Linked DNA regions of Caenorhabditis elegans. The protein of the gene in region 2 interacts with the protein of the main gene of each other region in a pairwise test. Each region holds a gene or a part of one and is shown on either strand. Other genes may lie near its edges. The genes, in order: vhl-1, Y77E11A.7 and trp-2.

Region 1 (10,048 bases), on a different chromosome or scaffold from region 2:
GTCGACTATTTGGAAAGTAATCAAGAAGTACCAAACTGAGGTGAGTTCGAAAAATATTATTCTTTAATAATAAATGTTTAGAAATCCGTCGCTTTGAGAATCTCGCCCGGCAGGCCTCGAGTGACAACCCATAGGATGGATCGCAACATCCTCCGATCAGCAAGAGAAGATCCGCATAGGACCGCCACGGATATTCAAACGATTATAAGTTCTCCAAATGAACCTGTACCAAGTAAACGAACTGTTCGTCGACGTTTACAGCAAGCAGGACTACACGGACGAAAGCCAGTCAAGAAACCGTTCATCAGTAAGAAAAATCGCATGGCTCGAGTTGCGTGGGCAAAAGCGCATCTTCGTTGGGGACGTCAGGAATGGGCTAAACACATCTGGTCTGACGAAAGCAAGTTCAATTTGTTCGGGAGTGATGGAAATTCCTGGGTACGTCGTCCTGTTGGCTCTAGGTACTCTCCAAAGTATCAATGCCCAACCGTTAAGCATGGAGGTGGGAGCGTCATGGTGTGGGGGTGCTTCACCAGCACTTCCATGGGCCCACTAAGGAGAATCCAAAGCATTATGGATCGTTTTCAATACGAAAACATCTTGGAAACTACAATGCGACCCTGGGCACTTCAAAATGTGGGCCGTGGCTTCGTGTTTCAGCAGGATAACGATCCTAAGCATACTTCTCTTCATGTGCGTTCCTGGTTTCAACCTTGTCGTGTGCATTTGCTCGATTGGCCAAGTCAGTCTCCGGACTTGAATCCAATAGAGCATTTGTGGGAAGAGTTGGAAAGACGTCTTGGAGGTATTCGGGCTTCAAATGCAGATGCCAAATTCAACCAGTTGGAAAACGCTTGGAAAGCTATCCCCATGTCAGTTATTCACAAGCTGATCGACTCGATGCCACGTCGTTGTCTAGCTGTTATTGATGCAAACGGATACGCGACAAAGTATTAAGCATAATTATGTTGTTTTTAAATCCAATTGCTCATATTCCGGTACTTTAATTGTCATTTCCTTGCAACCTCGGTTTTTTCAATATTTCTAGTTTTTCGATTTTTTTGAATTTTTCTGAAGTTTTTTCAAAATCTGTTGAACATTTTTGATGAATATTGTGTTTTTAGATTTTGTGAACACTGTGGTGAAGTTTCAAAACAAAATAACCACTTAGAAAAAAGTTACACACAAAAAACCAAAAGTGGATATCTTTTTGGCCAGCACTGTAACACACATATATCTATATTTCTCATTTAACAGTGAAAAAGTGTTGTTCCTTGTTAGAAATGAATGCACTAAAGCTTAAATAGAAGGTAAAAATTAACAAATCTCACTCAAACTTCATCTATCTCTCCATACTTTATTTTTCAGCACACCTGCACCGCTATTGGTTTCATTGAAGAAAATTCGCAAAAGTGGATCAATGATTGTTACATTCTATCAAAATCTCCAATCAATTCTACTGGCTTTGATAATACAGTTGATATTTATGAAATTTGTGTTTGACAATGAAATACTACTCAAAAATGCGGTTAGAAAATGATGTCATGTCTGTGACTGTCAGTTTTATACATCAGAAGATAAAATAGAATCATTAAACAATGTTAAAATTAACATTTTATTTTTCGTTTTGAATTGATTTTGTTTGTATACACGTATATTTTGTACCCGTCTCTTCTCTGTTCCCGCACAAATATCAGGGTACAAAGAACATGTTGGAGTATAGAGAAAATAGAGAATTTTAGAGTACCACGGTGTACTTTTTTCTCTGTTCATTCTCTATCTTAATGAAACATGTTTTGGTCATTTAGTCCATTTTGTCTGTTAGTACGATTAATCTGTAGTTTTCCTCTTTTCTCCAATCATAAATGTTTTTCAAGTATCATTCGGACTAATTGTTTTTCCACTTCTTCACTTTTGTTGATCGTTCCAGTGATATTTTTCCTCGTCCTCTTCACTTGTTGTCTCTTGGTTGTTTTGTGTTCCCGGGTTGCCCCCGACTGACTTAATCGTAAGAGATCAACGCGCAAAAGAGACGCAGGCAACACATTCCCTTTCCACATCGATTTCGAGCCCGGTTGTGTCCTTTTATCGTTGCGTTAAAGTTTCTATTGGCCATTTTTATTACTTAATATTTCTGCTTCAGATTTATAGGGATGCTTTCAGGTAGTTAATTCTGATGAAGCAGAACGTGAAACAAAACATGTATGGATTTTTTCGCAGGTTTATTCCAAAGGATGATAAGAAAGCGGATAAAAAAGTGAGTTTTACATCAATTACAATTTTCAAAATTGAATATTTCTGAAGAAAAAAAAACACTTATTGAGTTTTTTAAGTGTAAAAATGTACAAATACTAATAATTTTTTTAAATTGAAGTTTGCGAACGGAAACACATACTTCACTATTATATTCAAAATTATGATAGCTCTCTTTCAAATCGTCACGTTACTTAAATTATTTGAATTCTTTCTTTCAATCAAAAAATACCCGGTTACTTGAAAATAGAAAGACAACCATTGTTTGTTTTTAGAATCCAATTTGAGACCGATTAGCAATCAGAAAAACTTTATTTAACAATTTTCGGGTCAGGTGAAAAACTCTATGGTTGAGCAGAGTTTCAATTTAATTTACTACAATAAAAAATTCGAGTTGAATATATGTATTTCAGCGGGTACTGAAATCCCTAGACGAGGCTGATGTATGCGTAGTTGATGTAGAAACATTACGATGCGCTGTCTGTCTCAACATATTTCAAGGAATCCCTCAAACGCTGACATGCGGTCATTCATTCTGTCATAGATGCATTGAAGAAGTGGCTCATTCGGAAGTGATGAATGATACAAGAGAACCAAACCGAAATGTAAGTTTTGTAAACCGTAATTGTAATTCCTCTATAAGCATGGTCTTGAGAAAAGGGTCTTTGGGTTCCGTGTTGTGTTAGTGAAGCGGTAAATGGGAAATTCAGTTTTGTGCGCACTTTTTACTTTTCAAAATTCGTTTTGTTAGATGGAATATCAATTGATTAATTCTAACAGGAACTCTTGGTCCGCAGACTTGTTTCTCGAGAACATTTCGGGACAAAGATTTTATGGAATATGTATTTTCAAAAAACCGTATGCAGATTTTAAGCTAATATAATAGGATTTCACTCTGTGTTTCAGTCGTTTCACTGCCCCATTTGCCGGAAGCGTGTCAGCATGAGCAAGGTTATCCAGAATTATACACTGAAAAACGTACTGGATAGTATTAACGAACTATCGAGAGAGGAGGAAAAATCAAGAAGAGCGTATGATAATACTTTGGATGCATCAGTGAGTTACATCAATAATAAAACAATATTTGCAAACAATTGATAAATTTTAGAATGAACAACTCCGCGTCAAATGCATTGATTTGGAACGAAAAGCAGATAGTCTAAAACGAGAAATCAACGAAATGCGCAGAAAGGAGTACTATAATTATGTTGCTATAACATTTTTCATTATTGTCTACATTATCCTGTCGACAATGTTTGGAAATTGAATTATTGTATAGCTATTCTAAGAATTTTAGAAGTATTTTCCTTTTTTTTAATTGTTGTTGTATAATACCTATTGAACCGGTTAGATGCTGATACTCATTACCTATGTCCAACTAGTTGTAAATAGGGGTCATCGAATTTCAAATTTTGTTCTAAGTTTTATGCGGTTAAAAATTATTATAATAAATAATGAATTGGATATTAAATTGGTAAAATGCAAATATTTTGAAAGAATATTCCATTTCGTGTTCCGCGTTCTTGTGAGAACAAACAAGCTTTGAATTGCTAAAATCAAAAACAATTGGTTTGAGTGATGATAACAAAAATATTGAAATTGCATGCGAAACTTCATGAATTCTAACGCTGGGAATTGAGCACTAAAATCTGAAATCAATTTATTTTCAGCAAAAAAGCCGTAAGCTGATTTTTCTGCTCTCCAATTTTTTCAATTGTAAATTGTTTGTTTTTGAAATTAGAAAGTCGTGTGTACCTTTGACCATATTAATTTTTCTTGTACTTCAGTCCGAATGTAACATGAAATATAATAAATTATCTTACAGAACATCATTTGCCAACATAACTTTTGCGCTTTTAAAATACTTTACCACAAATGCTAGCAAAAATTGTGACAAAAATGGTGAAAAAATCATTAACAGTATTCAATGCTACTTTTGAGAAAACGACCGTATGGGGAATGGAATTGCTTCTATCATGACAATTTTCGAAACTATATACAATTAGAATCATTGCTGAGGTCTCTGGGGTCCAGGAGGAGGAATTGAACGGCAGACTATTTCGGAATATTCTTGTTTTCTATCCAGAAAATGTTTGACTTCAAATTGTAGTTCTCGTGGAAGTCCTTTGATTTTGTTTGGAACTTCAGTTGGATTATGCCGTAAGAACGAACGTCCGGCAATTTCTCGTAAGGATTGAACTGAAAAAATATTAACAGTTAAAAGTGAGGTGCAAAGAGGAATTAATCGTTAGAAATGGGGAAACATGTGATTCGATTTATTCTGCATTATTACCACTCACTGAGTAAGTGACAACGAAATCGTAAAACTAACGTCGGAAAATTCAAGAAATTGATTATTTATTCAATTGTTTTCTTTTCCATTTTTCTATGTAACCTTTTAAAAATAAAAAAGCCTACCTTTCATTGTGATGACACAATGATTTCGAACAATCAAATTCATTCGAGGAGCTGGCTCCGGCCAGAATACTTCTTTTTCGTTTACCAATACTTTGCATCCATCAAAGGATCTCCTAGCAACCCATGGATGATCCTTGAAAGTTTTAATGTCTAAATACTTTTTTTGGGCAAGTGTTCCGTATTTTGTCGGTTGTTTCTGTAATTTAAGGATTTTATCTTTTTCGTTGTGTAAGAATTAAATTTACTGATGGATTCAGCCAAAACACGTCCACGGGGTAAGCACATCTGTTTAGGAAACGAACACGTATCTCTCGATTGTCATGTGTTGATGAGCCCAAGTCAGGAAATAACCTTCCATCATCATCCATCGAACCGTCTGACATTTTTCTTCTGAAAACCAATAAAAACATATTTTTCACATATCATAATGAATAATTAAACGTTTAAAGTAACACGAAAGGACCAGGTATTAATCAATAAAAAAGACGCTGTGAAAAAGAGGTGGACGGGTGTAGTGGACTGAGGGCCGAGACGGCTGGATTCTTAGTCCCCGGCCTTTTCTTGTTAGCTCTGCCACGAATACGATGTGTAGAACAACCTAAATTGATATTACCTCGACGCTTAATTATTATTTTGAAAATTTATTAATGTACTTCAACAATAATTGTAAAATGTTTTCTAACTTGATTTTATTTATTGATTGAAAACAGAAAATGATGTGTTCGTTGAGTTGTTTTTTTCAAATCTAATTTAGTTGCAATAATTTTGATAAATCTGAAACACAAGTTCCAATAATGTCTGATCAGAAACCAATTTTTTGTTGTCTTCACCGATTATTAGGTTTGGAACGACACAAAACGTTAAGTGCCAGCTCACCGAGGCATATAAACGAAAAGAGCCCTCCTGCAAAAAAGAGGCCTCCCTATTCATTCGGTGGCCACCACGTCTATCCTATTGCCTCCAGTGTATTGCTTGCCGTCGAACACTCTTCTCCGCACACTTCTTTTCTGCCTGAATATTGATTTAAGGGCGTTGCCTTGACCGTACTTTTTGTTTCAGGGATTAACATCAGTTGTGAAGAAAATCTAAGGGTTGCCAGACAATTAAGAAAATCTGTACGCCAGCTTGCAAAAAATCACACAAAAATCATTTTATAAATGAAAACTCCAATTGGATAAAACAAAGACAGTGCTCCGATTGACAGCGGTTTATGACACTTCAGTCCTGATGCAACGTGAGTTTTTGTTTAATTTGGAAAACAAATTATTTAAAATTTTAAAACACAGTCAAAAGTTTGTGTAAGAATACTTTTTAAAACTGACGGATTTTTTTTTTCAAAACGCCTAGTTTAATTTAAATTTCTTCGTTTAAAACAAAAAATTTTAAAAATAAAATGAGGAAAGTTGAATTACAGGACAGAACAAGATGGTCATGACATGGTAGAATAACAAATTCCATTTATCATTTGTTACTGATGATCTTCTGGTGATCCGTTGCGTCTAGGATTTGATTGGATTCAGCTTCAGTGTTGTAAATGAAATAAATACACAGGACCCGTCAAAAAGCTTTGAATAAAGTATGAATTCGTGTTTTTTCAGCGATACGCCAAATGGAACCCCGTTGTGTGAAGAAAACATAAAATTTTCGCTCAAAAAACGAAGTACGGATAATTCAATTTTTCCAATTTTTCCATTAATTCGTTCAATGTACCGATTACAAATAAAAACAATAAGAAATCTTATCTTTTTGTTGTCAATTTTTGATAAGACGTACTGTCTTTCCTCTTGTTTTATTTCAAGACAATAATACCTTTTTTGAATGTTATTTGAGCACTACTTGCACTTGCACCAAACAAATCTTCTTCAAAAAATTATTCAGATGTTCTCCGCAATACGAAAAAAATTGGGTGGTGACAAAGAAGAGAACAAGTCGACTGTTATGCCGTCAGGTGTACAACGAGTCGACGCGGAATTGCAGAGAAAATTCGCTCGAGGAGTACAGTACAACTGTTAGTTTTTTTTCCATTTCACCTGCTTCTGGTAATTAAATGTTTTTAGTGAAGATTGTAATTCGCGGAGACAGAAACGTCGGTAAAACTTGTCTATGGAAACGACTTCAAGGGCTTTCATTTCAAGAGGAATACGTGGCAACCGAAGAGATTCAAGTAAGATCTCGTATTTGCTTGGATATGGATACAGACTTTGCTTGCATCAAAAAATTCAAAATTTGAAAAATACTCAAAGTTTGATTCCAGGTAGCCAACATCAACTGGAACTATCGCGCAACGGATGACGTTGTCAAAGTTGATGTTTGGGATATTGTAGATCAATCCACTAAGAAAAGGGTCAAGGATGACAAGTTAAAATTGGCGAACAATGGGATGGATAAAAATGATGGTTTAGATGTAAGTCTTAAATTGAAAAACTTAAGAAATGCGTACAACTGAAAATAGTTTAAAGAAGAAATATCCTCAGCGAAGAATGGAAATCTTTGAAAGAATTTTCCGACAATGTTTGTACACTGGTAACGGAATAAGAAATCGTTTAAAAAATGCAAAGTGATATTGCAACAAACCGGTTACAGCGCATTTCACGAATAGTTCAGAAAACTCATCGATATGTAGAGTGTGGTATTTGACTTGCGTGGGAAATGATAGGTTGAAAACATAACAACATGATTTGTTAATGCGTATCAATCTTTCTGAGCTAATATTAAACTAGTTTCAGAATCAATGTCAGTGGTTTGAATGGACAAAAGGTTTAAAGTTAAACTAATTTAGAAACATCCAAAATGCCAAAAATTAGTTAAACTGGATTTTGCAAATTCATTTCAAGTAAATTACCGTTTCCACATCAAATGTTTGACATGGGTTCAAATCAAGAAACAAAAACTTAACAGCATGATAAATTTTTGATTTCAAACTAAAATTTCAACAAACACACTTTAATTTTATTGACAAAATCAGTAATATTCCACATATTTCAGTACGAGGACACAGCCTGCGATGCACGTTTTGTCGATGTTTACAAAGGAACAAATGGTGTCATTTTTGTATTTGATATTACAAAAACGTGGACATGGGAGTATGTACAAAAGGAGATTGTGAAAGTTCCGAACAAGATTCCTGTTCTTGTTCTGGCAAATCGTCGAGACATGGGTCATCACCGTCAAGTCACCGATCTACAGTGCTCGACATTTGTTGAGCTGTTCAATAGGTAAGATTTTCATTTTCAAAAATACAATTTATCTGAATTTTTGCTTTCAGTAGTCATCCTTCCCCAGATGGTTCTCCACGTGCTCGTTTTGCCCCGGCATCAATGCGATATGCATTTGGACTAAAATTCGTACATCACTTTTTCAACATCCCTTTCCTTTGCCTTCAGGTATTATTTTGTTTTTACTCAAGTTCTCACTAATGACGTTTCAGCGTGAATCATTAATCAGACAATTAGAAACGAATAAATCAGAAATTGTGTCTAGCTATCACGAGCTTGACTGCTATCAGGAGACCCCAGAGGCCGACTATGACACGTAAGCGCAGTCATGAATATTACGAAAAACTCTTAAAATAGAATTTGAATTTTTCAGTTTTATTGAACTTGTGAACCAGAAGAGAAGAGAGTATGCAGACAAAAAGAGTGAAATGGCAAGACAAGGTGCTGTACAAACGTCTGGAAGAGTCATGGGTGGCGGACAACCAATTCCAGGACAAAGGCTCACGCCGTGAGAAAAATAGGAACCTGAAATAATTACTTTAGAATATTTCAGACCGACGATTCCACGCGCGAATATAGATCAGTCAGAAAATAATGGTACGAATTTACATTTTGAGTGGAAAACTGTCACAGTAAAAAATCGGAAGTCTGTTTGTGAATCTCAGAAACAAATTTGAGCAAAAGTGTCACAACATTTTTAACGTGGTTTTCAAGAAATTGACAGCCTGTTGTGGATGAATGACATACGAATGCCGTGTTTATTTTTTCAATAATATATATTTTTTTAGCAACACAACCTGCATCTGAAACAACCCGTAAACACTCCTTCGAGATGGTTGGTGATGAAGATGAAGACGGTATCAACACCTTTTTAGGGGAAAAACAAGAAACAAAAAACCATGGAGTTACTAAACCCAAACAAAGCGAAAGTGATAGGTAATAGCTGGGTATGGATTATAATCATCAATTTAACTTTTTTTAGTGAGACTGAAAATAACATGGTTTGGAAGTTCGAAGAGGATTTCTCAGTTGACGATGAGTTGATGGAAAGAATGGCAAAAGCTGGAGAGCAGAGAAAAGTACAGTCGAATTTGAAGAAGTTGGCAGTACCCGAAACTGTGGAAAGAGAAGTGTCAACTCCAATCGGTTAGTTTTTATAGTCACGATGATTTGATGTTATTACTTCTTATAAGTGTTTGAATTTCATGTTTACAGCGTATCATGTTAAAGTCCATGACGATGACGTCGATTCGCCCGTTATTGAACAACCGCCAATTGCATCAGAGGTTCACTTATTTCGAGAGAGGAATTTTATAAACAAGAAACATTTACAGAGCTTTGAAAGTCCAAAATTCGAAGCACCACCACCACTTCCTACGAACAACCCCTTAACAGTTGCCATGACGTCAGACGATTTGGATGCTTGGCTTGGTTCTGATGACCAGTCACCAAAGTCAACTAATACGGTAAGAATTTTTAATGTAATATAAAAGCAATATATTTAAAACAAAAAATGTTAGTAATTTTTAGTGTACGTTCAGTAAATAAAATCTAATAACGTGCTCGACCTTTTGTCATTCAATAAAAAAACTAAATTTCCATTTTAAATTCGAAGATTGGCAGTGAACAATTGTATCATAATTTTCAAAATAATTATAGTGTAGCAATTTTTCAGAAAATAAAACAGGCATCTTAAAAACCGGCTTTGACCGTTCGGTTATTTTTGTGAATACTAAATCATTTTCCTGTTTTTTTTTTGAAATTTTACTCCGTTTGTATTTGATATCATACCATATCCATCGAATCTTTAAAGCATTGTTTCAGGTGCCTGAGCAACACAACAGCAGCGACGAAGAATTCGGAGTGGAACTTCCGGAACCTATAACAAAGCCAACATTGGACATTTTCGCACCTATTTCCGACGATAAACCATCATCGGAGTCTAGAACACCGGTGAATTTGGATGATTCTTTGGAAGAAATCGATAAAATCGTACGTTTACTTTCACATGAAAAAAGTTAAATGTTCATTTACAGGAAAAAATCACGAAAAAGAAAAAGACCAAAAAAAGTACGAAAAAGGTGAAGGCAGAGGAGGAAGCTGAGCAGGAAGAAAAATTGACAAAGAAATCCAAGAAAACTCCAAAAAAGAAGGCTGCCGAA
Region 2 (11,853 bases):
ATTTTGAATTCCAATCTCACATTCGTGTTCAGCTCACCGAGAGCTTTGATTTAAGTATAATCATGACTAGGTTTGGTGAAAATTTGAAAAATTCCGAGAATTTTGGGTCCCAACACGAAAACCACAGTAACCCTTCGTGGCGGGACCTTTTTTTTGAATTTTCACTACTGAATTTGTGTTCAGCTCGCCGAGAGCTTTGATTTAAGTATAATCATGACTGGGTTCTGACAATTCTGCATATTTTCGAAATTTCCAGGTCCCATCACGAAAACTACAGTAACCTCGTTTCGTGGCGAGACCCAGAAATTTCAAATTCACCGGAACCTAGTCATGATTATACGCATTTGAAAGCTCTCGGCGAGCTGAATTCGATTTTGCTCAATTTTCCGCCGTCGAAATTCGTACCATTTGAGCGACTCTAGCCGCATCTCCGCCGTTGTGACGTGGTGGATTGAGCAACGAGTCGGGCTCATTATAATAGACTTCTTCAAACATTTCATCGTCATAATAGACACCATTGTCGTCCATTCTTCGATGCATACGTTTACGGGCATTCGCCATCACATATCGACGCATTTCATAGGCCTGAAAAACTGGGAATTTTTAGCGAATTTCCGGGTGAAAAAATGGGGCTGAAAATGTGGAAAAGTTCGGAAAAAAAATGATAAAAATCGTCGAAAATTGTTTATTTTTCGACGTTTTTTTTTAAATCAGGCTTTAAAATGAGTTTTAGAGTTAAAAAATCGTGTAAAATTCATCGGAAAACGCATCTTTTTTCAATGAAAATCTAGAAAAATTGAAAATTTTTGAAGAATTTCCATATAATAAAATGCCCAAATTTTTAGTTTCGTAAGAATTAGCTTAAAATCTTCAAAATTTGCAATTTTTAGCGAATTCATTCAGTGAAAAATCGTATAAAATTGGTTGAAAAATATGGAAAAATCGTGTTTTTTTAAATTCACGTTTTTCGGATAAAATCGTCAAATTTTTAACTTTTTTTTCCAATTTTCAGTTGGGAACGTGACTGAAAATCGTCTAAAATTGCAATTTTCAGAGCATTTTCTGTGAAAATCGTCGAAAAGTGGCTTGAAATTGTCTAAAATTGGGCTTTTTAAAGAATTTTTAGGTGAAAAATTTCTGTGGCATTTTCTGTGAAAATTTTCAGAAATATGCTAAAAATCGTCGAAAATTGTTGATTTTTTGACTTTTTTAAAATCAGTTTTTTTTGGGAAATTTTCAATGAAATTCTTCAAATTTTGACATTTTTCAAGCCTGAAAAATCGTGATATTTGTCTGAAAGCAATTTTTAAATTTTTCAGTTAAAATCTTCAAAAATTGGAAACAAGTGTTTAAAAAGGAGAATAAATTGAAGAATTTTCAGTGTAAAAAAACAAATTATGGCATTTTTCAATTTTTGGCTGGGAAATTGACTGAAAATCGTCAAAAATTGACTAAAATCGTCAAAAATTGACTAGAATCGTCAAAAATCGACTAAAAATCGTCAAAAATTGACTAGAATCGTCAAAAATCGACTAAAAATCGTCAAAATTTGACTAAAAATCGTCAAAAATTGACTAAAAATCGTCAAAAATTGACTAAAAAACGTCAAAAATTGACTAAAAAACGTCAAAAATTGACTAAAAATCGTTAAAAATTGACTAAAAATCGTTAAAAATTGACTAAAAATCGTTAAAAATTGACTAAAAATCGTTAAAAATTGACTCAAAAAAAAATTGACTTAAAATTGACTCCATAAATTTTCGGATTTTCGTGAATTTTTCAATTTTTTACATGGAAATTATCGGATTTTCACATTTTTTCGCAAATTTTTACCTGTTTCTTATTGATAATCTCCCGTGGATCGGTTTCTCCCGTTTCCACAAATCTCTGTACAGTTTGCAGTGGTGAATCACTTCTCAGCAATTCCTGAGCCACTGAACGTGTGTCACTGTACAGTTTGGGCGTCTTTCGGAGCTCAATTGGGTTATCCGATAGGTAATTCACGTGATACTGTACCAATACAGGTGATGCTCGACTATTATCCACAAGACTCTCCAACCAACACACCTGAAGCTGTGATATTTGTTAAGATTTCTTCAAAATTTCGGAATTTTCGAGATTTTTCACTACGAAATTCGGATTCCCCGCATTTTTTTACACTTTCTTGTAAATTTTCAGAGTTCTAGCTCAAAATTGCGTAAGATTCGGTGTATTGGGTTACTGTAGTCGGTGATTGCGTACTTTTGGGGCTACTGTAACCCGGAAATTTTGAAAAATGAGCTAGAACCACAGACAACCGATTTCAGAGCTAAAAATAGATAGGAAAATCGAATTCGGTGATGAAAATCAAGAATTTCGAATAAAACAGCGGAAAACTCGTGTTTTAACACATTTCTCGGCGATTTCACTACGAAATTCGGATTTCCAGCTATTTTTTACTTCTAGCAGTGAATATTCAGAGCTCTAGCTCAAAATTGCGTAAGATTGGGTGTTTCTGGGTTACGGTAGTCGGTGTTTGCGTACTTCTGGGGCTACAGTAACTCGGAAGTTCTGAAAAATGAACTAGAATCCCGCAGAAAAAGTGTTAGAGGTGAAAATTTGCAGGAAAATCGAATTCGGTGATGAAAATCAAAGAATATCGAATTTGAACACTGAAAAATTGAATTTCTAGATATTCTGCTGAAATTGCAAATTTTTCATTAAGAAATTCGGATTTCCCGCATTATTTTACAACTAGCGATTTTCAGCAGAAATCTCTAATTTTTTTTGTAAAAATCCGAGCTTTTGGCTTAAAATCCAGTTTTGTAAACTATTTTGGCAAAAAAAAGGTGGTTTTTTGGGTGAAAAATTCGATTTTGAGTCATTTTCATAAGAAAACTTCACATTTTCCGAAAATATCAATTTTTGGCTAAAAAATCCGAATTTTGAATAATATTTGCATGACAAATGCTATTTTTGGGCAAAAAATTCAATCAATTTTCGGTATATTTTTTTAATGAAACATGTCATTTTTTTCGGTTAAAAATATGACTTTAGGTAATTTTTGTAATGAAATTTCCAATTTTTTCGGTTAAAAATCCTTTTTTTTGTCATTTTAGCCTGAAAAATGCTATTTTTTAAGTAAAAACCCCCGATTTTAGGTCAATTTTGGTGTGAAATTTTCAAATTTTTCGGTTATTTTTCGGAATCCCCGCATTTTTTTTCCACTACAACGTAAATTTTCAGAGCTGTAGCTCAAAATTGCGTGAAATCTGGTGTTTTGGGTTACTGTAGTCGGTGTTTGCGTACTTTCGGGGCTACCGTAACCCGGAAATTCTGAAACATGAGCTAGAAGCACAGAAAACCGATTTTAGAAGTGAAAATTTGCGGCAAAATCGAATTCGGTGATGAAAATCAAAGAATATCGACTCTAAAAGCATGAAAAATGTAATTTTTCGGGTAAAAATTCGATTTAGGTCATTTTTTGATGAAAAATTCAATTTTTCCGGTCAAAAACTATTTCTTCACATAAAAATCCCGATTATTGTTTATTTAGAAGTAAAAAAATGTCATTTTTGGGTGAAAAATTCAATTTTCGGTATATTTTTTTTCTTCATTCTTTTTGAAATTTTAGAATGAAAAAAAAAACCATTTTTGGGTGAAAAATCCTTTTTTGTAATTTCAGTATGAAAAATGTCATTTTTTTCGGTAAAAAATATGACTTTAGGTAATTTTTGTAATGAAATTTCCTTTTTTTTTTCGGTTAAAAATCCATTTTTTTGCCATTAGCCTGAAAAATGCTATTTTTTAGGTAAAAACCCCGATTTTAGGTCAATTTTTGTGTGAAATTTTCAAATTTTTCGGTTAAAAACTGCATTTCCACCGCACCTTTTTGCAAATTCTATTCTCCATATTCGAATAATACCAATTCAACACATAATGTGCAGTTTCGGCAGTTCTTCTCGACGTTTTCACATGATTTCCCTCTATTTCCACAAAAATTTTCTTCTTCGAGCTCGTCGATTTGCCACGATTCCACAAATAACTATCAATATAATAATCGGTATTTTTTAGTCCGTGACGGGGTTCAACAAGGAAATTCTGAGGCCCTTTACGTGTTTCATCGATTGTCAACGGGAATTCTTTCTGAACTTCATGTTCTTCGTAGCAACGGAAATAAAGGAAATGGGCAGCTTTGTTGGGAATTGAGAGATCCGAAGATTTGAGATTGAGAGTTTCTCCGGTGAATGAGGTGGCTGCGGCGACACGCTGCAAAACTTTTTTGAGACGGTTTTTGCTGGTTTTTTAGAGGATTTCTGTGCAAAAATTGGGGTTTTTTTTCTGTGATTTTAGACGCTTTCTGAAGGCTTTTCGCAGGTATTTGAAAGTGAGTTTTCGGAATTTTAGGGCATTATTTTGGCTCTTTTTAAGCAGCTTTTTACAGTGAATTTTCTGTGAAATTTCGGCTATTTCTGGTCGATTTTTGATCGTTTTCAGAGCATTTGAAACTTTACTTTGCCATTTTTAGTGGATTCTCGTTTTAGGTGTGGTTTTTGCTCATTTTCACAGGATTTTTCAAGTAAAAATCCTCATTTTTCAGGGTTTTTTTCGGTGAAAAAATGCCATTTTCCGCGATAAATCACCTGCATTGTGGTGACGAGGTGTTCGTCTTCATTTTGATACGGTACCTTTCTAGTCGGAGTCGGACGCCCTTGATATTTCATTGATGATATTGTAACCTCATTTGCAACCGAAAAATCACTGTTTAAGACCATTTGAGCGTCGATTTTCTCGCGTTTCAAAGCCATTTCCATTTCAATTTCCATTGTTTGAGTGTCCATGTGATCGTCGAGCACTGACGCGTCTGGAAATTGAGAATTTTTGAGATTTTAGGGGTTTTTCAATTAAAATTTGGCCTTTTTCGGGAAGTTTTAGCTTCAAAAATGACATTTTTTGGGAATTTTCTAAATGAAATTTTAATTTTTTGGGGAATTTTTAGGTTGAAAATTGGATTTTTTGGGTTTTTTCGAAGTGAAATTCGAATTTTTAGAGTTTTTAGCTTGAAAATTAAAATTTTCGGGATTTTTTGAGTGAAAATCTGATTTTTTAAGAGATTTTAGCTTGAAAATTAACATTTTCAGGTAAAAATCCGGGGTTTAAAGAATTTTTTGGCGAAAAATTGGTTTCTTAAATGAAAATCGAGTTTTAAGACAAATTTCATAGAAAACTGTAACATTTTCCGGTAGTAGCTTCTGATTTTCAGCCGAAAACTGAATTTTAAAGTAAAAACCTGAGTTCTAGGCAGTTTCTCCTTGAAAACGCGAGCATTTAGGTTAAATTTTAGAATTTTGAAGTGAAAAAATTACATTTTTTAGGTAAAAAATGAACGTTTTAATGGGAAATTGCAAATTTAGAGTCGACAATCGACTTTTCAGCACTTTTCCAATGAAAAAACACATTTTTTGATTAAAAACTGATTTTTTTAAAGCAAAATCGTAAATTTTGGTATTTTCCCCCTAAAAATCGCCAATTTTGCCTGATCATTGAGGATTTTCGCCAATTTTTCCGCGTAAAAATCGCATTTTCATGTAGAAAATCCAATTTTTACCGATTTCAGTGTTGGAAACATCGATTTCCTCCTCTAAAATCGGGCTTTGGTGGTGTTTCTGGTGAACTTGGAGCTCGTGCTCGCCTGGGGTCATATCTCGCTCCTGGTCGACTGAAAGTGGCTCTGGTGTCGTGGATTCTGGGACTTTTCTGAAAAAAAACGAGCAAATTTAGAGATTTTTAGGAGAATTGGAATAGAAACCCGAGATTTTTAAAGGTTTTTTCACTATTTATAGGTCTAAAGTGCTGAAAATTTTGATTTTTCTTTTATATTTTTGGATTTTTCTCGTCTACTCACGCCATTTGTGCAGAAATTGTAGATTTCGGTGTGAGTTGAGCTGTAGGAATAACTTTTTCGAAGACTTCATCTTGTTTGGCGGCGAGCAGCTTTGCGGACGGTGTACGAACTTTTCTCGTCTCCATTTCTGAAAAAAAATCGTTTGAAAATATGGTTTTTTCGCTGAAAAATAAAGAAAAAAGACTAAATTTGCCCAAAATTTGAGAAAAAATTTCGAAAAATAAATTACAGTACGCTTTAAAGGGACAGCAGTGAATTTCACCTTCGTGGCGAGACCCGTTGTGGCAAAAACAGCATGCGCCTTTAAAGTTTACGGTGCTTAATTGAAATTTTGAATTTGTTTTCGAAAACATTCAAATTTCGATCGAATTTTTCGGTTTTTTCGATTCAAAATCAATTTTCGCTTGATTTTCCTGAGAAAACTACGCATTTCCGACAAAATTCAAATAAAAAGAGCCGCGGGGGCCGTGAGAAAAAATGTGGCCGAAGAATACAAAAATTCGACGGGAATGGGACGACGGACGGGGCCGAATCAATTGTGTTTTCTCAGCCACAGATGTTCACGGTGAGTGAGGAGACGCAGTGAAGCGCGCGCGCACGCGACGCGCAACCGCGTCTCGAGTGTGCAAGGTGGGATTGGAGCGCGTTTGTGTGGATAGGGCTGTGTCGATTTACGGAGCGTCGTGGATTTTTTTTAAAGGGGATTTCCGGTTTTTGAGGAGGATTTTTGTGATTTTTTCCTAGTTATTGGTTAATTTCCAGCAAAAAATGAATTTTTTTACGTTAGATTGTAACGGAGAATTTTATAATTCTGCAAATTATAAATATTTATTATTGGTTTAAATTAATTTTTTATCCGAAAAAAAAAACCAAGAAAAAATGTTGAAAAATAAATTTTAATGAGTTTTTTGTATTTCGTTTCAAGACCTGCTGAAAAGTTAATCTTCATGTACCTTTAAACTTACAGTAAAATAGTTTTTACGGTTTTGAAGCCATTTATTAACAATTTTTCGTACGGAAATTCATTAAAAGTTTATATACTAATAATGAAACCCATTGTCATATTTTTTGGCAAACGTAACTCGCAAGTTTCAGTTAAGTTTCAAACTTTGTCAAAAATCAGCAAATAAATGTATTTCGTTGCGAGACCCAACACAGAATTTGCCTCTATGCACCTTTAAAAATTACAGTACGAAATTAATTAATTTCTTTCTCAATTTCAAGCCAAAATAACTCATTTTCCCTCATTTTTTTTTGCAGAAAAACGATGGAATACTGCAGTACAAAGCAAATTTCCACGTTTGTCCTCGCCCTAATCGGTTTTTCGATTCTCGTATTCTTCATCGAAGAGTACACGGAGGAAAGTGAGATGAACAGCGAAATGGAGATGAAAAAAGCGTTTTATAGTAAGATTTCCACCTAAAAACTTGGAAAAAAAGTTGAATTTTCAGAGACGGAACACGGCGGAACCACCGGAAAACTGGAAAAAGTGGTGACGGAATATCCAGCGGAAGAATGTTGGAAGCATGAGCCATTTGAAGTGGTCACCCAGTGTGCACCGTGCAAGGATTTCGAGATTAAGGCTATTAAAGCTGGTAGGGAGATAAAGAATTAGGAAAAATTCAGAAAAATCGCAATTTTTACCTTAAAAACCCGCAAAAAACGACTTTTTCACCAGAAAATCAAAAATTTATCCTATTTTTCCAGGTCATTGCCTAAAAACCGGCTATTTCGATCGTGTAAACTGCTCCAAATCGTCGACAACTGTGCTCCGCCCGTGTCCATCTCCAAAACAATCCCGCCGCCACGAGTTTTACCTGTTCTACGTGGTAAATGCCGCAATTCTCATCGTGAGCTTCTTGTCGACGACACAGCGGAAGGCTCAACTCGAACGGGCGGTCTACATGCGACTACCTCAACATTTCTAAATTTTTATCGATTTTTTTTGTAGATATATATATATATATATATATATTGATTGATTGATTTTTGTTGCGATTTTAAACGGGTTTTTATGTGAAAAAAACATGGGAAATGTGTAATAAACGGTGCGAATTTATTGAAAAAAAATTTTTTACGAAAAAAAAAAATTCATCGATTTTCTTGAATGCTTCTTTCACGTTCGGGGTAATGTACTGTAGTATTACTGTAGTTTAGAAAAAATTGGGTTTTTGTCTTTTTAAGAGATATTTGTTTAGGGTTAGTGGAGAGATATGGTCGGGATACTGTAGTAATACGGTAGGGGGTACTGTAGGATTTTCGGGAAAATTGAGTTTTTGTCTTTTGAAGAAGTATTGATCCAGAAACTTCTAGAATTTCCTAGAAAAACCTGGAAACTTCTACAACTTTCTAGAATAGGCTGAAAACTTCTCGACTTTCTTGAAAGTCAGCAAAACTCCAGGAAAATGTGTAACACGGGTTTCTGGCTTCCCTCATAAATTGAAATGGAAGAGTTTGCCGAACTAGGCCATTTTGGCTTGGCCATATCTGGGGTAGATTCACGGCGCGTCGCGTCTCGATTTTAAATGAAAAACTAAATGCAGGCGAGGCAATCGACTTCTGGAGCTGAAAACCTCTTTTTCTGAAACTACCGTAATCTTACAGTACTCCTACCGTGCCACTATTATACCACTACAGTAGCCCCAACTATGTATATCCCTACACTAACCCCAACTCACTATCCTTCCAGAAGCCAAAACTTCACAGACTACATAGTGTAAGGATTCCCACCCTTTTCACTTCACATTTTACATAAATAAATACTAATTTATTTGCCTGTAAATTCTCTCTGATAATTTACAGAAAGAACGGACGAAATCGGTCAAGGACAACGATTTCTACAGCGAGGACAATTCGTGTGGAGGAGAAACTCCAGTTCAAACCGCCGCCAAGATGTCGTTGGTCGCATTGTCGCGTCGAGACCCGTCGTCGTTAAAGGCTGCGCCTTTAACCCGGAAATGCCTATATAAGGAGAGGAGGACGCTCATTTGAGGATCATTTCTTAACTCTTTAACCCGTTACTTGTCGTTTTCCCTCTTCTCTCGTTTACTCTGTTTCGACGATGCAATTCGTCTGTTCCCTTTACTTAATAAACCCTTATAAGATCGATCAGTGTGCGTGAGTGGCAGTTACATCCTATACCTTTATTATAGACTACATAGACTACAAACTATGGACACACGGAATAAGCGCTTTATATATAGTAAATGATATTTATTAACTAAAGAAAACGGCTTCCCGAAAACATTTTAAAACAAAAAACTAGATTTTAGTGAAAAAAAAGAGTAGTATACATATATACAGGGGTTACATAAATACATATGTATATACATTAGTCTATACATTCATCAGTATACATCAGCTCAGAGCAAAAATCAGTCATAATCCCAAACTTTGTAAACCCATGCTGGACTTGAGCAAAAAAATAGTTGAGCTGGAAGGGGATTGAAGTTGCCTTCGCATCTGAAAAAAGATTAACGTCTTTTACGGTGTTTCGGTTTAATATTTACGATTTAACATCCACTTTCACTGCATTGTTCCCATTAAAAACCAGCACAAGACAATTATCATTGGCGGTTGCCATTGCGGACGAGTTGGTCACCCAATTGTAATGTTCGAAAGTGGGAACGGAGCTAAGGAATGTGAAACCCTGAAACGATAGTTTTGCTTTACATAGCTGTTAAGATTAAATAAAGAGAAAATACGGGTGATACAGAATAGCGAATTCGGAAGCTTCTTGGAGCTATATATAGCTTTCCAGGAGACTCCCACTAAGGCACGACTGGTCCGACAGAAAGCCAGCGCGAGACTATTTAAGGCCACAGGCCACTGGAAACTACTGGACTAAAATTAATCCAAGACTGCATAATTGATACCTCACCTTCGGAGACATGCAATAAGGTGTACGCGGAGTTGATTGACATGCTTTTGTTCGAATTCCATCAATTCTGGCATAGATGTTGCGATTAGCTGTTTTATTACGCTGAACCTCTCCTAGTTCTGTAAAATAAAGCTTTAACACCGAAAAAACAAGTGCAGCACCTTTTTTCGGAAATATTACCTGAAAACTTTTTGAGATCTTCCGGATACAGTGGAGCTGCTAATAGTGCGTTGTCGGCTGATTCACATGAAGTGGCAGCTTCGTTGTATGTGAATGATCCGGTATTGGAGTTTCGATATATCTGATTTTCAAACAAAACATTCTCAATGAAAGTTTGAATTTCTATCTCACCTTCAAACAAACCATTCTGTCGTCTGGATGGATCAGTAGCCCGTTAAAGTTTCCATTGCAGGAGTAGTTCACTGGAATTATTTAGACGTTAGTTAAAATCCTCATTTAGGTTTAAAAACTTTTATAAGAAATCTTCCATCCGGTGAGTGTTGCGTAGATTGTGTAGTCGGTGTGGTAAGGCCAATATGGTGGATAGTCATTCACATATAAATGACCCTGCAAGTGGAAATTCACTATGTATGTACCGTGCTGAGTGGACATCACTTACCGTTGCATTCTGATTATCAAAAGTTGGCGGAATTGCGCCAGTTGGACATGTTCCATTGAGACTGTTCACTTTAAACGCCACCACCGACTCATTTGCCGACGTGGTCCTACTAACGAAATCCACATAGTCATAGTCGTAATTGTAACACGTCGAATCATTTTGTTTTGTTCTGGGGGCATTACCACACAGTATGGTGAGTAAAAGCAGGCTGCTAAGCATCCATCCCATGTTAGAGAAGTGTTCACCTGCGTGTTGTTGGTGGTGTTGGGTATTCCCCATACTAGCATCATTTTCATGTCGGAGATCTGTTATGGAAACTTTGGTTTAGGCATAGACATAGGCATAGGCATAGGCTTATCCATAGGCTTAAAGTTCTTAGGCTTGGCGCCAGTGGCGAGCGTTAGCTTACAACCGCCTCGCTCAAATGTATTTTGATAAATATGGATATTTAGGCTTAAGCCTCGCCATACCGCCGGTGTGTCATAAGGATTTCCAATATTTTATTTTTTTCGGGCCCTTAGGCTGGTTGGATTGGGATTTCCAATGTTTTATTCCAGTTGGGCACCCTAAGTCTAAATAGCTCTTTTTCTTTTCGTTTGCGCTCCAAGCGCAAGGAAAAACCTTCTTGTAACTTTTTAAGAGGGTTAGGCTTAGACTTAAGCTTAGGTTTTTTTTAACTTAAGCTTAGGGTTAAATCTAACTCGAATTATGGTTTTTACTGAAAATCTTACCACAAAAGTTACTAATCCAAAAACAACAAAAAGAGCAACCAAAATAGAACGCATTTTACAATTTGCAAAACGGAATAAATGACACTAGCGAACTAGCGGAGCTGCTATGTTTAGTTTGCAATCTGCATTAAGCACGAGGTTTTCGGAGATATTATGCAAGATTTTTTATGTGACAACTGCTTTGTAAAACCAATGATGCGGGAAAGAGAAGCATGAAAGATCAAACCCAATAAAATTAAACAAAGATTTTAAGCAAATTTGATCAATTTTGTAAAAAGTTTTTTTTTCTCATTTATTGCCCAAAGAAAACTTGGCAATTATGAGTGCCGAATCGGTTTAATTGACAATTTTTTTAATGAAAAAAAAGTTTTTTAGTGAATAATAAATGGGGTGATATATATACCGTATTTCCTCTATTAGTCTTGCATGCAAGACTAATTTTCGATTGACCCGTAGGGGTGCAAGACTAATAGAGGAAAATACGGTATATATATACATCAGATTAGAGCAAAATCAATCATAATCCCTAATTTAGTTTTCCCATGCTGGACGTGAGCAAACAAAAAATTGAGCTGGAAGGGGATTGAAGTTGCCTTCGCATCTGAAAAAAGATTAACGTCTTTTACGGTGTTTCGGTTTAATATTTACGATTTAACATCCACTTTCACTGCATTGTTCCCATTAAAAACCAGCACAAGACAATTATCATTGGCGGTTGCCATTGCGGACGAGTTGGTCA
Region 3 (11,381 bases), on a different chromosome or scaffold from region 2:
TGAACCGAGTTATGAATTTTCGAAATTTTCCAAAAATTAATATTTTTTAATTTTTCAAATTTTTTTTTGAGTTTTTCAAAAATTCGTGACTTTATCAATTCGTGAGATATTTTGATAATTTTTAGTTTTTTATGTACGTCAGATAATCTTCTTGTTAGAAAAAATAAAATACAATTTTTTGTCTGTTAATTACAGTAACCCAGGAGTTTTCGCGGCAGGACCCGACATTTTCGCAGAAAATTAGAAACTAGCCATGATTATACTTTTCTGAAAACTCACAGTTTCCTGAATTGGAAAATTAACATTTACAGTTGAGTTATCTAAAATTAAAAAAAATTCAGCCAAAAATCCAAACCTCGAGCAGGATTTGTACTTGTCGTCACACGATTCCTTCAAGTGCTCATACTTGTAGCTCAATGACTTTTCGTTTTTGTACTGCTCATATAAATTACACTCGTTTTGGCGCATTGAGGCGTAGTACCTGGAAATTAAAAAATTTTTGAGAAAACATTATTAAAAAATAAAATAAAAGTTTCGAAAATTTTTTTTTCGAAAAATTCAAAACCTTTATTTTTCATATTTATCAAATTTTAATACTTTTGTTGGCTTCAGCTGACTGAGAGCTTTCGAAAGACACCTCACATGCCTATGCTCCGGCGGTTTTGAGCTACGCACAGCTGAAACCACAGCAACCGTACCCCGCGTGGCGAGACCCAAATTCTAAAAATCGTTGGATTCTAGGCATGATGGGAGTCATTTTAAAGCTCTAAGTGTGCAAAATTCAAATTTCTTGCTGAAATGTGTTGAAAACCGGTTTTGGAAAAAAAAATCGTACAAAAACAATTTTTGCAAAAAAAAAAGCTTTTTCTCTCACCACAGCAGTTGATTGAGCCCACATGCAAATGCGAATAGTACCAGTGCGTAGACCATAAAAAATTTCACAATATCGATTACCATACGGCCTGAAAAGTTAGACTTTTTTGAAAAAAAAAAATTTTCAAAAAAACATTTCAAAGTTTTTTTTTTCCAAAATTTTTCCAACTCACCCAAAGAAATTTTAAGTGGTCCCAAGTGTGGGCTCACTGTAAAAATGTGCACCAATTTCAGTGAGGAGAAAATATTCGCAGTGGCAAAAAAGCACTCGCTGAGCAGTGTGGGGTCCCAGGCATCCCAGTCGCGGCGGGGCAGGTGACGAGCGATGTGCACCGAGTTGGCTCGCAGAGCTTCTTGTTCTACCTGAAAATGGTAATTTATTTGATTTTGAAGTATTTTTGTGACATCTGAGAAAATTAAACATTTTTTGAAAAATTGTAAAAAAAATTTTTTTAATTAAAAACTTAAATTTTTGAAAATTCATAACTTTCTCAGTTTTGGAGATTTTCCGATCATTTTAGACTTAAAAAATTAGACTTAGACTTCAGCTTAATTTTTGCAGAGCATTTTGAATTTTGTAGAAAAAATTCGAAAAACCTAATTTCTCATCGAGTTACAGTGACTTTTCGCAACAGGACCCAGAATTTTTTTTTGGAAAATTGATAACTTTTTCAATTTTAGAGTTTTTCAAATAATTTTTTTGTGACAATTATACACACTGCAGACTACAAACTACAAACTACAAACTACAATACCTGAACATAGGCGACCACACGTAGGGCGGTGGTGCAAAGGTACAAGGAATTTGTGATAAAATCCAAAATATTCCACAAATTTCGGCAATAATTGTAGAGACCGCACTCCCACAGTTGCTTGATTTCAACCCATATTAATCCTGAAAAAGTTAAGAATCGATAAAAAATCGATAATTAAATTCCTAAAAATCAATAATCCAAAAAAAAATTTTCGAAAAAAAAACCAATAATCCAAAAAAATTTTTGAAAAAATCGATAACCAATTTTTCTTGAAAATTTTTTCAAAAAAAAAACAAAAGAAAAATCGAAAAATTTAATTTATAAAAAATCGATAATCAATATCCCAAAAATTCCCAAATTCTCACCTAAAACCCATAAAAATATAGCGCATTCGATTATGGTGGGCGGGGGTCCACGTGTCTCCTTGCGATCCACGTCATCAGTGCGTAGGATGTTGTCGATGACGTTCATACGTTGACTTGCCATGATAAGGAGTACTGTAATTTGGGGTACTGTAGCTTTTTTGGGTTTTTTTTGAAAACCTCAAATTTCTCTGTCATTTCTTAACTTTTGTAGAAAATTTTATCTTGGTTGAAATCAGCTTACTGAGAGTTTTCAGAAAAGTACCATCATGCCCGGGTTCCGCCAGCTTTGAAAATTTGGGTCCCGCCACGCGGGGTACTGTAGCACTGGCTTCAGCTGTGCCGGAACTCAAAAGCAACGGAATATAGGCATGATGGGGGTCATTTTGAAGCAATTGGCAGGAAGATTTCAAATTTGAAAATAGTTATTAATAAAGTTTGAAATTTAAAAAAAGATTTTTCAAAAAAAAATTTTTTTTCGGAAATTTTCGAAAATCGATAACTTTGTTCATTTTCGAGATTTTCTGCTAATTTATGTTCTAGAAAATGTGAAAATGTATGCTTGCCATAGGAAAAATATAAAATTTCAAATCTCCCTCCTAGTTACTGTACCCAAGAGGTTTTCGTGGCGGGACCCAAAAACAGAAAAAAAAAGTTTGAAAATAGCTGGAACCTAGGCATGCTTATACTTTTCTGAAAGCTCGCAACTCACTGAATTTAAATTTTAAAGTCTTCTCACAAAATAAACAAAATTTTCCCGAAAAACCACCCACTCAGAAAGAAAATATAGCTTCCAGAGTGCGAAAGGAACTTGATGAATGGCTTCTTGGCGAATTGTCCCATTGAGGAGTGCGGAGCAAGTAAGTAGACAAGTGAGAATAACGGAAAACTGAGCATTCCGAGAATGTAGAAAATTAGCTGAAAAAAGTTTAATTTGGAAAAAAATTTTTTTTTGGAATTAAAAAAAAATTTCGAAGAATTTTTCCTTAAAATTTCTCACCTTATATATAAAGTTAGTACATCTCACTGACTCAACACCTTCATACCAGATATCCAGAAGCAGCTGCTGACAGTTAGGATGGGCGACGAACTGGAAGTTAGAAAATTATCAAAAAAAAAAAATTTGAATTTTTTCCAATTTTTCTCTGAAATGTCTCGTAAACCGGTAAAAATGTTAATATTCGAATTAAACACAATGAGAGCTTTAAAATGACCCCCATCATGCCTATATTCCGTGGAATTTGAATATTTGGGTCTCGCCACGCGGGGTACGGTAGCTAGGGTTTCAGCTGTGTCGAAACTCAAAATTGAAGAAACATAGGCATGATGGGTGTCATTTTGAAGCTCTCAACAAAGCGAACTTAGTAAAATAAAAATTAAATATTTTCATGCAAGTTTCAGAAAAAAAAATTCTGAAAAAAAATAAAATTAATTTTATTTCAAATTTCACCAACCCTTTTCTGCGATAACTGTATTGCCAGCTTCAACCTTGCCAATTTTTCTGGATTTCCATAATTTGCTGACGTCACATCGTGCCACGCATTTGTAGTGTGATTGAGCACCACCTCCAGTTCCTTGGAGCCCCGCACCTGGTCCAACATGTGAACGCAGAATTTTTGGCACTTTTGGGAGAGCTCCTGGAGTTTAATTTTAGATTTGAGCAAATATTAATTTAAAATTTGAATTAAGCACTATGAGAGCTTTCAGAAAAGTATATTCATGCCTAGGTTCTGCATGTTTTCAGAAATTTTTTAAAAGTTTTGGGTCCCACCACGAAAACTCTTGGGGTACTGTATCTAGTACGAAAAATGTTTTTGGTAGTATTTTTATCACAAAATCTAGAAAATCTCTTTCAATTTACACTAAACTGCGGAAAATGCACAAAACTGGCGGAGTTAGCGATTTTTAAATTTTAGAAAAAAATTTTTTTTTTGAATTTTAAAAAATTTTCAAAAATTCATAACCTTGTTAGTTTTGAAGATTTTTAGCTAATTTTTCGAGAAAAAAAATAGACGGAAGCTTAAGTTTTATGGGAAAAATGCAAAAAATGACACAAAAACAGTATCTCACTATTTTTGAGACTAAAAAAAATTGAAAAAAAAAACTCAAAAAAAAAATTTTTTTTTGGTTTTTTCCCAAAATTTTAGAAAAGTTTCCAACTGAAACCTATACTAATTTAAGCTTTTCTGAAAGCTCTTCTTATGCTCTATCCTATTAAAAAACTGTTTCCCCTCCCAACTCACCTCATAATCTGTGCGGAACTCATTTTCAATAAAACTCAACCGCTTGAGCTCCCAGCTCAGCTCGAAAGCGTACAAAATCGGGTCTCGAGCGGAAAGACAGATGAGCGACGGGCTTGTAAGTGCTCTATAGGCATTTATCCGTGACCTAGAAAGTCGCAGAGAATCCTCTTCCCTTGCCACGTAGCACTCGGGGCAGGAGCATCTGACGTCATGGGGGTGGGGTACCGTACCCTTCTTGTCCAAAAACAGCTTTATGCACTCGTAATTGTCTTTGTGAGCTGCTAACACTATTGGTGTGATGTCTGGAGTAAATGCTGAGTGCTCTGTGATCTCCACTCCTTGGCGCTGAAATTTCAGAAAATTTCAAATTTTCAAAAAAAAATGTTTTTTTTTTGAAAGTACAATTTTTAACCAATTTTTTGAACTTTTAACAAAAATGTTATAATATTTGCACTGGGCTAACTGAGAGCTTTCAAATGACCCCCATCATGTCCAGGTTCCGCCAACTTTGAAATTTTGGGTCCCGCCACGCGGGTTACGGTAGCTATGTTTCAGCTGTGTCAAGACATGAAAATGGCGTAAACTAGGCATGATGGGGGTCATTTTGAAGCTTAAAATGTGAAAAATTCAAAATTTCAATTTGAGAGATTTTCTAAAAAAAACATTTTGTGAAAATTAAAAAAAAATTTTTTTTCGAAAATTCGTACCTTTTTCAGTTTTCGGTTAATTTTCCTGAAACCTATCTCAAAATTAACCCAGTTATCTGAATTTGTTATAAAAGTTAATCCAAAATGAAAAGTTCGCTTCCTACAGTACCCCGAGACTTTTTCCCGACGGGACCCAATTTTTTTCCCGAAAAATTAAAAATTCTCAGAACCCAGTCATGATTATACTTTTCTGAAAGCTCTCAGTGCGCTGAAACTAAATTTTACGTTAAATTTCATATAAAAAATTCGAAAAAAGTACCTCCGAGTCAAATTTGTCCATTTTTTCCAGGTGCTCCACTATGATCTCCACCGCCTCCACGTTTTCCTCTCCAATTGCGTAGAGAATTGCGTCGCCGGTCTGAAATTGTAAAATTTTTGGAAATTAAACAAAAAATGAGTTAAAAATTTAGATTTTCGAAGTAGAACAATTTTTTTGAAAAAAAAAACATTTAAATCTGTGAAAAACAATTTTTTTTTGCCCAGATTTTCAATTTGGCTTCTGTTGCAGAAATTGTTTTTGTGACATACAATAATAAATTTCAAAACAAATAATTAAGGGCTTCGAAAAAAATTCAAAAAAAAATTCCAAAAAAAAAATTCCAAAAAAAAAATTCCAAATAAAATTTTCAAAAAAAAATTTTTTTTTCCAGAATTTCTCACTTTAGGCTTATTTTTCGAGCACATTTTAAAAATGCTTTTTTTCTTTAAAAAAGTGTGCAAAACGAAACCTCAATATTGTGGTCCAATAGTAACTCGATCATCTCGATGTTCTCGTTTTCAATTGCGATGAGAAGCGCGTTTCTGCAACCGGGAGGGGGAATAAGATATAAACCGGAACTCGCGGAGCCCGTAAAAATTCAAGTGTACTATGCTATAAAATATATTTTATTCGGGGAAAGAAAAGTTTAAAAAATGTTGAAAAAAAATTTTTCAAAAATTTATTAGTTTCAAAATTTTCTCGAAAAAATATTAGAGCTATTGCATTTTATTTATAAAACTCGAATTTACAACGCTTTCAGCTTTTAAATGACCCCCATCATGCCTAAGTTTCGTCAATTTTGAAATTTTCGGGTTTCGCGACGCGGGGTACTGTAGCTCTGATTTCAGCTGTGTCGGAACTTAAAATTGACGTAAACAAGGCATGTTGGATGTAATTTGAAAGCTTTTTGTATCGTAAATGCAAATAAATATATGAGAAAATTTAAAAAGTTCGAGAAAATTTTCCTCAAAAAACAAAAATTTTTTCTTTTTTCCTCAAATTTTGCAAAATTTTCCATTTTTCAAGCTAATTTCAAAAAATTTAAATTATCGACGTTTTCAGCTTTTAAATGACCCCCATCATGCCTTAGTTTAATCAATTTTGAAAGTTTTGGGTCTCGCCACGCGGGGTAGTATAGCTATGGTTTCAGCTGTGTCGAATTTCAAAATTGACAAATCATAGGCATGATGAGGCTTATTTGAAAGCTCTCGGGGTGCTGAATTCAAATTTTTATTTTCAAGAAAGAAATTGTAGAAATTGTAAAGAAATTTGCAACATTTCGAAAAAAAAAATTTTTTTTCAAAAATTTAATTTTTTCAAACTTTATCAAACCTACCTGCCAAGCGGATCCAAACAATTTATATTAAAAGTTTCCGTTGAAATTCCAGCCAAAAGCTTCCTAACACTCCCAATATCTCCCCGCTCGCAGGAGAGCAGGAACTGCTTCTCGCGGAGCCGCGAGTTGTCCGACTCGGTCCACGTGACATTGTTGCTGACGTCATCGTCATCTTCAATCATCCGAAACTCGGATGCTTCTGATGATGTCATTTTGGCTGGAAAATGGAAGGGTTTAGGGAAAATTTGCGATGTTTTGGGACGAAATTTGAAAAAAATTAAAAAACAAAGAAATTCCGAATTTTTTTAAAATTTACCGCTAAAATTAAGGGCATCAGAAAACCACGTATTTTATGAAAAAATTTTAAAATTGGAGGGAATTACAAAAAAAAAAGAAAAAGTGTCATAAAATATCTGAAATCTGACACTTTTTAGAGCACAATATTTTTATTTTCTCCAGATCGCCTGACGGAAAAATGTATTTTAGTTAGGGACGTTTTTGATTTGAAAAATATTTCAAAAAGATAATACACTAAAATTTAATACTGAAAAAATTGTATTAAATTTTTTTTGGATAACATTTTTTAAATAACATTTTTTTTCAATCCTCCAAAATTTTTTTAACCGATTTTCAAATCTTTAAAGAAGTTTATTTATTAATTTCAGAACGACAATAGCTTCAAAATGACCCCCATATTGCCTATACTCCTTTGATTTCGAGAATTTGGGTCCCGCCACGCGGGGTACTGTAGCTGTGGTTTCAGCTGTGTCGGAGCTTAAAATTGACGGAAACTAGGCATGATGGGTGTCATTTTGAAGCTAAAATAAAAAAGTTCAAAAACTGATACGGAAAAAAACCTACAATTAAGTGGGTGTTTAAAAAATATTCAAAAAATATTCAAAAAAAAAATTTTTGAAGAAATTTATATTTTCTCCACAATTTATTAATTTTTGGTTTTTTTTTTAAATTTGAATTTATATTATTTACATTTGTGATATCGAGTGCTTTAAAATAACCCCCAATACGCCTATATTCCATCGATTTTTATAATTTGGGTCTCACCACGATGGGTACTGTAGCTGTGGTTTCAACTGTGTCGGAACTCAAAATTAACGGGAACTAGGCATGATGGGTGTTATTTTGAAGCCAGGAAAATGAGAAATTCGAAAAATAGGGAATAAAGCTGCAAAAATACGAATTAAAAAAATTTGCAGCAAAACATTTTAAAAAAATTTTTAATAAATTTTCGACACAATTTTTTTTCTAAAAACCCTATTACTAAAACCAGAAAACACTTTAAGCTTCACAAGCTCCGCCGAGAGCATAATAATGCGCGTTTTAAAACACACATCTCTCTCCCGGAGACGCTCATAATTTTTGCGCTTTTTCCATCACTTTTCCGCAAAGTTTAACAGCAATTATGTGTAGTTTTTGACTTTGACAGGAAAAATTGTTGGAAATAATTGAAATGAGATCAAAAAGTTATTAAAAGTTATTAAAAAATTGTTGAATTTTTTTGTCCTATTTTTTTCCGAAAAAAAAAAGATTTTTCCAAAAATTCTTTAAAAAATTAAGTTTATAAAAATGAGATTATAAAAATCAAGTTAAGATTTTTTCTAGCTTTCAAATGACCCCCATCATGCCTGGGTTCCGTTAGTTTTAAAATTTTGGGTCTCGCCACGCGTGGTACGGTAGCTCTGATTTCAGCTGTGTCGGAACCCAAAGTGATCGGAAAATAGGCATGATGGGGGTCATTTTGAAGCTGAAAATGTAAGGAAGTCAAAAATTTTTATGAAAATGCTCACTATCAGGAACCAACACTTCACACAAAGTTTTCAAAAAACGATTTTTCAGAAAAAAACAAAAAGAAAAGATTTTTCCCCAATTTTTTAAAAATTGTTTAATTTTCTAGATTTGAAACTAAAATTTCTATGATTAGGACATTGTAAGCTTTCAAATGACCCCCAACAAGCCTATATTCCGTCAATTTAAAAAATTTTGGGTCTCGCCACGCGGGGTACGGTAGCTATGCTTTCAGCTGTGTCGGAACTCAAAATTGACGGAATATATAAGCTGAAAATGTAAGAAATTCAAAAAATTTCCCAGGACTCCAAGACTCTTCCATAAAACCAAATAATGAAAAATGTTTCATTAGGAGGGGTCTTAAGCCATCATGATTGGGGGACGACGATGGGATTCTGGAGCAAAAAGGGGGTGAAAAAGAACAAAAATTGAGAAATAGACGAGAGCAGCACAGGAGCAGCAGCAGCTTGTGCTCCACGGAGCTAAAGAAGAGATAACAGAATTTCGCACATCTTCCCCCCTCCCCATTTTTTGGCTTAAGCTTCAGGAGGATGGGAGGGGGGAAACGCGAAATAAATTGAATTTCAAAAAAGTGTGTGGCGCATACATACACACATATTCAACAAAAATGAAGTATTCCCGCGCGCGCGAAAAAATGTTCTGAAATTTTTTTTTCGGAGAAAAAATTTTGGAATTTTTTTTTTTTGCGAAAAGCTCAAAATTTCAAAACTTCGGTAATTTTTCGAGTTTTGAGCTAAATTTTGGGCGAAAAAACTTGATGAACCTTCAATTCTGCTCCAAAACCCTCAAATGTTTTCGGAAAAAAAGTAGCTTCAGTAATCCAGGAGTTTTCGTGGCGGGACCCAAAACTACAAAAATCTGAGAAAATGGCCGGAGCCTAGGCATGTTGGGGGTCATTAGAGGTCTTAATGTGATCAGCCTGAATAAGTTGTTTAAAATAGGTTTGTGACAGTTTTTGAATTTTTACGATTTTTAGAAAAATTTTCGAAAACCATTTTTTTTGTGAAAAATTCCAAATTTCAAAAAATGAGTTAATTTCTCCAGTTTTGAGCCTATTTTTTGCTTGAAAACATTCAATAAATCTTCAATTTTGTCCCAAAACCTTCAAATCTTTCAGAACAAAGGCAGCTACAGTAGTCCAGGAGTTTTCGTGGCGGGACCCCAAAATATGCAAAAACTGGGGAAAGGAAACTGGCCGGAGCCTAGGCATGTCGGGGGTCAGCGGAAACGTCTTAATGTGACAAATTTGAATAAACCAATCAAATATGATTTCTAGTTCTTTTGGAATTATTACGATTTTTATATAAATTTTGGAAAAAAAATGTTTGCAAAAAATTCAATTTTCAAATTCATGCGAGATTTTCAGTTATTTTTATGCCGAAAAAAATTGTAAAGCGTATATTATTCAATGGTGAAAATGTTAAGTTTTTTTACAAAATGCTAGCTACAGTAATCCACAAGTTTTCGTGGCGGGACCCCAAAATATGCAAAAACTGGGGAAAATGGGCGGAGCCTAGGCATGTTGGGGGTCATTGGAAAGGTCGCAGTGTGATAAATTCAAATAAATTAATTTCAGGTTGTTTTTGAGTTTTTTATGATTTTTCGAAAAAAAATCTCGAAAAAAAATTTCAAAATTTTTTTCAATTTTCCATTTTTTTTTTCCAACAAAGTAATATAATCCCATGAAACCAACATTTGAATTTTTTAGGGTTTCAAAACTATCTCCTCATCAAAAACGGCTTCACCATAGTCCCACCGCAAGGCTTCTCCCTATCAAAAAAAATTCCAAAATGTTTTTTTGCAAAAAAAAAAAAACCAAAATCACAGGGAAATTTTATTTTGGCTGTTCTGAGGTATATGGCAAGATGCGAAAGCACACAAAAAACGTGGAATTTTTGATGGAAACAACAAAAAAGTGAGTGTTGAAAAATCAATAAAAAAATCAATAATCGATAAATATAACAACAGGGGGCGGGGAGGGGTCAGTCAAATCTCATTTGTCGGGTTTTCATGGCTCCAAAATGAAGTTTTTCCATATCCGCGTCGTTTAGATTGGTTTCGGAGATCTTAAAAATATTTCAAATATTCAACAAAAAAATTCGAAAAAATTTTTCTTTCAAAATTTTAATTATTTTGTTGCTAAAACTAGGATTTTTTCAGGGTTTTAAGTATGAAATTCGAGTTCAGCACCTTAAAATTGCCCTAACCCGCAAGTTTCCGGTCATTTGGAGCCAATGTCGTAGGATCTGGTGTGTTGGGGTACGGTAGCCGGTGGTTGCGTACTCTTGGGGCTACAGTACCCCTCCAAACTTCAAAATGAAGATAGAAAGCTCTACTAAAATAATTTTAGCATGAAATTTTGCGTAGAAATCGAATTTCACAATATTTATTTTGCTATTTTATTTTGAACGTACATTATATTTGTTTTCTGAAAAAAATTCGGTTTCTGAAAGTGTGGCTAATTTGTTTTTATTATTTTCATGTAAAAATTCGAACTCAGCATAGTAAAATCACCCCAACCCAAAATTTTCAGCTTATTTGAAGCCAATATCGTGAGATCTGATGTATTGGGGTTCTGTAGTCGGTGTTTGCGTACTCTTGGGGCTACAGTACCCCTCAAAACTTCAAAATTAAGCTAGAAATATCTACTAAAAAGATTCTAGACTGAAATTTTGCGTAGAACTCGAATTTGACGCTGCATTTTTATGAAAATTCGCCCAATTCTCCAAAAATCAAAATTTTCCCACCTTTTGCACCAAGAACTCTTCCTCCATAATTTCTACAGGTAAATTCCGTAACCGGGTCACAATTGCAGGCATATCGGGGTACTGTTTAATCTGTGACGGCGTCCCAATTCCGAATTTCAGTAGCACCAGCGCCACTTTGAACAGAATCTTGACGCCCTCGCACAGGAACATGTCCCATACGCGGAGTACTGTAGGCCAGGGTAGTGTTCGGCAAAAGCAGCACATAAACCACTCGATCATGTATAACGCTGGGTCGACTCCGTTGGCTTTCTGCA

The links.
Region 1: the proteins of Y77E11A.7 (region 2) and vhl-1 interact in a two-hybrid assay, tested with the Caenorhabditis elegans proteins (one large-scale study listed by BioGRID).
Region 3: the proteins of Y77E11A.7 (region 2) and trp-2 interact in a two-hybrid assay, tested with the Caenorhabditis elegans proteins (one large-scale study listed by BioGRID).

Annotation. Positions count from the first base shown.
Region 1 is NC_003284.9:11,302,375-11,312,422, reverse strand, and holds vhl-1 (von Hippel-Lindau tumor suppressor homolog), read right to left. Parts: upstream 5,068-10,048; 5' UTR 5,055-5,067; coding exon 4,917-5,054; intron 4,868-4,916; coding exon 4,672-4,867; intron 4,453-4,671; coding exon 4,262-4,452; 3' UTR 3,905-4,261; downstream 1-3,904. Other genes in the region: F08G12.5 (RING-type domain-containing protein), read left to right, coding at 2,201-2,257, 2,667-2,858, 3,160-3,309, 3,362-3,520; F08G12.1 (Rab-like protein 6), read left to right, coding at 6,550-6,679, 6,729-6,835, 6,926-7,075, 7,657-7,886, 7,937-8,054, 8,099-8,202, 8,260-8,394, 8,440-8,483 and 6 more. UniProt on the Caenorhabditis elegans protein: Involved in the response to variation in environmental oxygen levels by targeting the hypoxia-inducible transcription factor hif-1 for proteasomal degradation when oxygen levels are normal (around 20%).
Region 2 is NC_003282.8:1,413,837-1,425,689, forward strand, and holds the start of Y77E11A.7 (Dynein heavy chain 1, axonemal), read right to left. Parts: upstream 6,010-11,853; coding exon 5,885-6,009; intron 5,737-5,884; coding exon 5,588-5,736; intron 4,844-5,587; coding exon 4,623-4,843; intron 4,249-4,622; coding exon 3,868-4,248; intron 2,074-3,867; coding exon 1,834-2,073; intron 1,476-1,833; exon of another isoform or gene 1,424-1,475; intron 586-1,423; coding exon 406-585; intron 1-405. Other genes in the region: jtr-1 (Protein JTB), read left to right, coding at 7,152-7,290, 7,336-7,479, 7,592-7,812; Y77E11A.8 (PAN-3 domain-containing protein), read right to left, coding at 9,259-9,346, 9,394-9,533, 9,765-9,883, 9,945-10,065, 10,116-10,186, 10,235-10,331, 10,384-10,611; clec-171 (PAN-3 domain-containing protein), read right to left, coding at 11,646-11,715, 11,763-11,853.
Region 3 is NC_003281.10:987,247-998,627, reverse strand, and holds the start of trp-2 (Transient receptor ion channel domain-containing protein), read right to left. Parts: upstream 6,748-11,381; coding exon 6,536-6,747; intron 5,742-6,535; coding exon 5,669-5,741; intron 5,299-5,668; coding exon 5,200-5,298; intron 4,579-5,199; coding exon 4,234-4,578; intron 3,628-4,233; coding exon 3,445-3,627; intron 3,081-3,444; coding exon 2,991-3,080; intron 2,909-2,990; coding exon 2,764-2,908; intron 2,126-2,763; coding exon 1,994-2,125; intron 1,769-1,993; coding exon 1,629-1,768; intron 1,237-1,628; coding exon 1,047-1,236; intron 963-1,046; coding exon 875-962; intron 482-874; coding exon 356-481; intron 1-355. Other genes in the region: tbc-10 (Rab-GAP TBC domain-containing protein), read right to left, coding at 10,342-10,425, 11,107-11,376.